Mus musculus: one gene and its partner. The protein of the gene in region 1 interacts with the protein of each later gene in a pairwise test. Links are inferred from orthologs where the notes say so. Each region holds a gene or a part of one and is shown on either strand. Other genes may lie near its edges.

What was found. The genes of interacting proteins can lie anywhere in the genome.
Region 2: the proteins of Sptbn1 (region 1) and Sh3bp5 interact in a two-hybrid assay, tested with the Homo sapiens proteins (2 studies listed by BioGRID and IntAct). The link is inferred for Mus musculus from reciprocal best matches to the Homo sapiens genes SPTBN1 and SH3BP5.

Annotation. Positions count from the first base shown.
Region 1 is NC_000077.6:30,216,973-30,221,164, forward strand, and holds the start of Sptbn1 (spectrin beta chain, non-erythrocytic 1), read right to left. Parts: upstream 2,801-4,192; 5' UTR 2,755-2,800; coding exon 2,607-2,754; intron 1-2,606. UniProt on the Homo sapiens protein: Fodrin, which seems to be involved in secretion, interacts with calmodulin in a calcium-dependent manner and is thus candidate for the calcium-dependent movement of the cytoskeleton at the membrane.
Region 2 is NC_000080.6:31,387,601-31,391,100, forward strand, and holds part of Sh3bp5 (SH3 domain-binding protein 5), read right to left. Parts: intron 284-3,500; coding exon 119-283; intron 1-118. UniProt on the Homo sapiens protein: Functions as a guanine nucleotide exchange factor (GEF) with specificity for RAB11A and RAB25. Inhibits the auto- and transphosphorylation activity of BTK. Plays a negative regulatory role in BTK-related cytoplasmic signaling in B-cells.

The DNA.
Region 1 (4,192 bases):
GATATGTGGTAAGTGTTTTTGTTGCCTTATTAAATAACACACGGATTTTTATGTCAGCACTGTAAAGAACAAACCAAACCAGACCTGGAGCAGTTCTAGTATTGGGCACTTCAGTAGAGGCTTATTTTAAAGGCCTAACAGTATAAGGTTCATTTCTCTTCAAGAATTTCCAGGATTTTAAAGAGAGGTATCCACTTCTGCTTCTTTTCTCTTAAAGGAAAACAGTTAATGGTTATTGTAATCTTACCATTTTGTAAAATGTTATCTCTGAGTTGAAAACAAGCATCTACTTGACTGTTCTGCTGCCTAGTGCCATTTAGTGCCATCTCCCTGAGAGCCACCAGCTTTTGCAGAGAACATCTCCAAAGGGCTCTGTGTTCTAACATAGCTATAGCCCAGTCACAGCTCAGTGCCCAAAGCCTCCCTCCAATCCCAACACACCAGTGCTTCCAACTAGAATTTGACAAGAGGCAAAAGGGAAGGGATGAGCAATGACGCTCAGCATACAGCAGTCAGGCTTCCTGCAATCTGGAAGACCACTACAGGGGGTAAGGCACTCACAGAAGGAGGCTAAAAAGAGACTTGTTTATTTACCTAAGTCTCTCTTGTTCTGGGGCCAATTTGCACCTTGTTTCCTTTCACAGATGGTTTATCTTCATGCAGAATATGCTAATCTCCCTTAAAAAGTTAACATAAAAGCCTTCTTTCTCTAATCTACAAATTATCTGCTCTGAACACACCAACCACACCTCTAGACAGACAGACCGCTGGGTAGCACTGCTACATTTTCTTCAAATATATTTTTTCTGATTGATCTTTTTTTTTTTTTTTTGTCAGTCAGGATTTTTCTGTGTAGCTCTGGCCATTCTAGAACTCACTCTGTAGACCTGGCTGGTCTGAAACTCAGACCTGCCTCTGTCACCTGAGTGCTGAGATTAAAGAAATGCACATCACTACCTGGCTGGCTGGCTTCCTTCCTTCCTGTCTGTCTGTCTTTATTTATTTTTAATTTGAAGGAAAGATTTGCACACATGACACGGCATGGTGTGGAGGTCAAAGAAAAACTGTTGTGACTCAATTCTCTCTTGACACTATGTGGGTCCCAGGGATCAAACTTGGGTTGGGAGGGCTGGTGGGCAATATTGCACCAGTCTTAAGCTGCCTCTTTTAAAGGCAATCATTTGTAAGTCTCCAGCTAGCCATGGCCTGCTATATAAATATCTGGGCCAAACAGAATTTCAATACCACACCCAATCTTACAGAAATTTGTACTAAAAGGAAACTGGGTTATTAAGTCAATTAAATTATAAATATAATTTTGCACTGAGGTTTCATTGAATCTACATTGCACCCAAGTCTGGTGTAAGACAAATTATGAAGGCGCAGTTACTAAGTGGAGGGCTCCAACAAATGAAGAATAACTGAGATACTGTCCTATAGCAGTTAGCACATGGCTTTGTTGAGCCTGCTTTGCATGAGACCAACCTCCACTTTCCCTGTCTCCCTCCATCCATCTCTCTTTCTCTTATTTGAGACAGTGTCTTACCACATCAATCTTAGCTGGCCTAAAACTTGCTAGGTAAACCAGGCTGGCCTCAAACTCACAAACATCTGCCTGCCTCTGTTTCCTGAGTGCTAGGATTAAAAGCATGGCCACCACACCTGGCCCCTGTCTGATATTTTACGATAATCCCTTTATTCTCCTTTAATTCTATCACATGCTGCTGCTGTTACTTGTTTTTGTATGGCAAGGATGAAATGAGGGCTCTGTCCATGTTGAACAACTGTGTTTTCTACTAGCAAACACATCTCTTTAATTCAGAGTACATGCATCTCTATTCTTGGCAAACAGAAATGACTTGACTAAAAATAATCATGAATTCAGGATTCTTTTCAAAGAATCCAATCAGCAGACACAGAATAAATGTTTAGCTCCCTTGTTTCCTGAATACTTTCTTGTGGGTTTCTAGTTCATGTGAATCATGTCAAAAGTACTGACAAACTTACAATTTAATAATCAAGGCACCTATTATAATAGACTTTGTATCGTAAACTAGAATATAATTGGAATAACTACTTAACATCTACCTGGCATGGTTTTTCTCTAGAAAATGAAACTGAATGGGAATGATCAGTGGCAAACCTACTCATTAACAGCATTAAATATGGCCTTCCCACAGGACACTGCTACTTTTCAGATCTAAAGCCCTTGTAACAAGGTACTTACCAACCTCTCACCGAAAAGATCAGCTAATCTGCCACTGGCATTACGTATACAGCCAAGTTGGATATTTTATATAAATATAGTATGTTAAAACACTTGAAATTAAAGATGTGTTAGAATTAAAAAATCCTTACAAACTCTTAGCAGCTCTTTCTAAATTGCTGTAAACATTATTTACTGTGTTCTAAACTATGTTGGTCATTAAGTTCGGCAGCTCTCCAAAAGTAAATGTCTTATAAAAGGGTAAGCAAGCTCTCATAGGATATGTTAAAGCAGGGAGAGGTCAACTTCAAGCAAGACAGCTTAAAAGAGAAATGGTTGATGTTCAAGGGACTACAGAACATCTGGTGACAGGTGGGACATACAACATCAGGACACTTACCTGCCAGGGCCTTGATGCGGGAGCGCTCAAAGAGCCTTGCAGAGCTGTTCTCATTGTCCCAGTCATCCACATCCCAGCGGTTGTTCACATCACTGTACTGCTGCTGGATCTCAATGTTGTCATAGTCTGTGGCTACCGTGGTCGTCATCTTGACTGTCTCAGCTGCTTGTCCACATCAGTTACTTTTCAGAGTTCTGTGAGTAAAAAAGGAAAAGCACAGGTGTGTATACAAAGTGTACATCCTCTATACACCTGCTGGGGTGATAATAAGGAAAAACTAGGACAGTCACTGCTTGTCCAGATGTGCCTTCTAGAGCCAAGGCCAGTTCTGAACTTTGGCTCTGCTTCATAGCACATGTGTGACCTCGGTCATGCTACTTTAATGCTTTCCCCAAACCCGGAGGAGGGAGAAGACTGAAGGAAACACTGGGTGCCAAATTAATGTTCTTTCCTAAAGGAGTTTAAAGTGTCTGGGCAGTGATGGTGCACACCTTTAATCCCAGTACTCAGGAGGCAGAGGCAGGCTGATCTCTATGTGTCTGAGGCCAGCCTGGAGTACAAGACAGCTATGGCTACACAGAGAAACCATGTCTTGAAAAAAACCAAAACAGAGCAAAATGAACCAAAAAAGTTTAAGGTGAAGGTTTAATGTTTTATCAGGGCTGTATCAGCATCTACATGGATCTTTTTAAGTGAATTCCCTTAGTTTTATTGTCTATTACCGTTTAGTTTTTCCTTCATAAGCTACTATATAAGAAAAACTAACAAATCATTCTGTCTCTATGTCTCATTTACATATTAGAATTGATGCCTAAGGTTAAGATGGAAGCATATGGCAACAAAGATAGTATCCATGCATAGTAAATACTCAATAGGTATTATAATTATTTATACCATTGTTACTATAAATTCTAGGACCAATACCAATAGTAATGCCCACTCCTTTAAAGCCCTTGAGGATAATGGTGGGTTTTTTTTTTTTTAAGGAATAACTATGAAATAAGCTCTGGCTCACTAAAGTCTTCACTTTATCAATGTATTCTTGGAGGATCAAGAGAAATATGTTTAGTTTTAAATACAGTTTCTCCATTCAATACAGCTATTACTCACATGCAGAACCCAACCATATTGAGGAATTACTACATGATCAGCAGTGCTCTAGATTCCTGGGGAGAACAATAAATGACACAAGTGTTACATCCTCATAGAAGGGAGACCAAAAACACACACACACAAAAGCCAGAGAGTTTAAGGAAAATAAAATACAAACAGATGAATTTGAAACTGGCTATTTTAGACTGGTCAGAAATAAATACTCTGCTTAGTGTAGGTCTCGGTGTCTAAAAGGTACAGATCATGGCCAGATCAAGAAGAATGGCACACCAGACAAAGGTACACCAAGGTATGCTCAGTATAGTTGGAGTCAGGTGTGCAGAGGGAAAGGTAAGGAGAGACAAGGCTAGGGGAGCTAGACAGGGCTCCCCTGCATAGCTCATCAGACTTGGCTGATGATGACCTTTGAGTCAGCATCGGCCACTGGTGGATGTGATTCTAAAGGATAGTTCTTGGTGCCATGTGGAAACAGA
Region 2 (3,500 bases), on another chromosome or scaffold:
ACCTTTACAGGAGGGTTTCATGCTGCCTAGAAACCTGTCTCTATTCTTGTGGGGGAGCCAAAGGACATCCAGCATGTGGCTTGGGTCCCCACCACCAGCGCACACAGGTCCCGCCTACCCTCTGAGTAGCATGGTTCAGCATTTCCTGCCAAGCAGAGTCAAACTGCCGCTTGTCATCCTCCAACAGCCGCTGCTCAGCCAGAGAGATTGTTTCCTTGGCTGCACGGAGTACCTCGGTGGCCCTCTGGAAGTCCTGTGTGGCCTTCTGCGCCTCCAGCTGAGCCTGTTGAGAGAGAAGGTCTAGTAAGGCCTGAGGCAAAGGCCAGGACTCCCTGAGGTCCATTGCTCCCACCCCCCGAGATGAGTGGCCCGAGATCTGACCTATCCATCTCTGCCTCCCTCTTGGACAGGCTGCATGGGACAGGTCCCTCATATGTGGGACGGGATAGCAGGTGGCCAGTGGCTGAGTGAATACCAGGTCGGTGGGCAGACAGTCTCCAGTCTGGAGCTCAACAGATAATCAGATGCATGGATCTTGCATCTGTGATGGCAATGGCTAATTAAGCCTTTCCCCAAAGTCCTGGCTTAGGACTGATGCCCAGATAGGCACAGCAGTCCTGGGCATCTTCCCTGCACGCCACAGCCCAAAGTGCTCCAGAGACCACAGTTGTAGGGCTCCGCTCTACAGATGAGGCACAGTAATTGAAAACAGCTTTTCCCGAGACTCCAAAGCTGATCAGAAGCAAGGCTCCAGGCAAATGCCCCACAGCACGAGTGCCAGCCTAGCACGTCCACTGCCAGACAGCCCCCTCAGTCCACATATACACCCAGGCCCAGGCCTACTGAGAGCACAAGCCCTGCTTTCAGGAAGGAAGAGGCAATACAAACAGCAGCCCAAACAGCAGCCGCCAACGCATGTGTCTGCATGTAGACATGTGCACATGGGGAAATCTGACGTTAATGCTGGAGACCACTCCTCAGGAGCCTTGTTTTCTGTGACAAGGTTTCTCACTGGCGGGAAGTCCCCTGTTAGGCTAGGCTGCTGCCAGAGAGCCCCAGGATCCAGCCACCTCTCCGGCTCTGGGATTCCTGCCTGGCTTCCTTCCGCAGGTTCTGGGGATGCTTGCACAGCCAGCACTGTACTGATTAAACAATCTCAGGCCAGCACGTAACCCCTGAGCATCTAAATGTGATTAACAAGAAAATGCAAACATCTCTCACAGCCCAGAGAGAGCTCAGAAGTTGCTGTGCTTGCTACACGAGCAGGAGGACCGGAGGCTCAGATCCCCAAAACTCACATAAATGCCAGGGAGGTGTGGCAGCTGCCACAGCTCAGGAAATAAGGACAGGAGGTTATTGAAGCAAGCTGGTTAGAAAGACTAGCTGACTCTTAGAGTCCTGGGCTTGACTGAGAGACCCTGCCTCAAAACCTGAAGTAGACGATTCCTGATACCCACTCACACACAAGCACGTACACACACATATTCATGAGTACCTACCTGCTCACACATGTGCCACACATGTGAATATGCACACATGCACAATACACACACACACCTCATTTTAAAGACTCAGTAGAAAAATGTTGATTATCCCATTAGCCATTTTTTTGATCAATGATGAGATACACTAAACTAAATCCAATAGACTGAAATTAATTTCCGCTGTTTGTTTCCTCATAGGTGACTCTCTACTACTTTAGGGCTGTTGATGTTCGTCCCTCAAGAGTGGGCTATGTCATGTGACTGCATGAGACACAGGGCTGGGGAGATGGCTTGGTAGGAAAAGCGCTTGCTGTGCAGGCGTGAAGACCTAAGTTCAGGGCCCCAGAATCCATGTAAAACCAGACCCAGTAGCACGCATCCGAAACCCAGTGCTCCAGGGTCAGAGGGGAAATGGCGGAGACAGCAGAATCCCCCCAGATGCTCACAGACCAGGTCAACTGGTGTGGTGAATGCAGAGGCAAACAAGACCCTATCTCAAACAAGGTATTCAGTGAGGACCCCTGGAGTGCATCCTCTGGTGTCCACACTCACACTGAAGCACACACTCCCCTGAAAGCAGTCACTGCTGGCCCCTCTCTCCTCCAGCTCACCTCCAAATTCCCACCTGGGTAGGGGCAGGACATGGCTCCTGCTAATCTGCCCCAGACCACTTCCAGAGTCAACAGGGTCCCTGGGCCAATTACAGAAGCCCTAATGGGACAGCCCCAGGACAGTCCCTGGGACTTAGGAGGGGAACAAGCGGACCCCACCCTTCCCCAGAGAAAGCCTCACATGACTTAGAGGAAATTTTCACATAGACTGAGGGCATTTTGCAAAGAAAATTAAGAGGAACAGCTGAGAATATAGCAGCCCTGGGGGAAGAAACAGCCCGGTAACCCATGGTAACCCACAACGGGCATCCGCTTGTCTGGTCTGTGCACACCCACAGCCCAGAGAGATCCATTCTGGGGACTGCGCCCCACATGTAGATGATGTGTAGAAATCTATGCTTCAAGATTGGGTCAGGGCAGGAGAATGGAACTTGCTTCACATAAGAGGAAACTGCGGGAGGTTTTCCTAAAGAGAGGCCTGAAGGGCAGGCAGGAGCTCCAACTCAGGGCTGATGGAGGTCAGGGGAGCACTTAAGACTCTGAAGGGTCTGTAGGAGATCTGATAATGCCCGGAAAGGAGCATTTTAAAAAGCCAGCCTGGGCTGTACATCAAGATCCTGTCTCAAAAAAATTAATAACAATAACAGTAATAGAAGCCTAAATGAATGCCCACCTACCAGCCATCTACATCCCCTGAGGTAGCCTGAAGCACATATAGGGGTGGGGATGCACACCCTCTCTAGAACCAACCAGCCACTGAGAAGTAACTGTACCACGCTGACAACTGCACTCTTTCCCCAAGCTGAGCCTCCTGCCCATCTTACTTCTCCAGACAGGCAAGAAGGGAGATCTGGGCAGGCTTAAGGAAGGTGAATTGTGACCCATCCCCCTATCTCAGTATACCCACAACCTTCCCACAGCTCTGACACAGGGACTCACCCCCTGAGACCCAACATTTTCTAAAATGGGATCTCTCTGCCCCTTCTTCCGTTATCCATCCATCTACCTATTTATCTATCTATTTATATCTATCGCTCTATCTGTCTGTCTATCTATCTATCTAATTTTTTTTTAAATCTTCTTTGAGGCTTTGAGGTTGGGCTCAAACTCAAGCAAATCCTCCTGCCTCACCCTTCTGAAGTCTGGGATTACAAAGATGAGTCGAACCACTTAATTTTCCTTTAAGGTTTCATTAGACAGCATTGGCTGGACTGGAACTTGGTTTATAGAGTAGGCTGGATTTGAACTTGCCATAATCCTCCTGTCTCTACTTCCCATCTACACCCGGCCTTGTGGGTTTTTTGCTGTTGTTGTTTGTAGCAAGTATGGTGGTATGTGTGCACAAATTTTTTCATTTGTATAGTATGGACACACGTGTGTAGAAGCCTGAGGTTGACAATAGGTG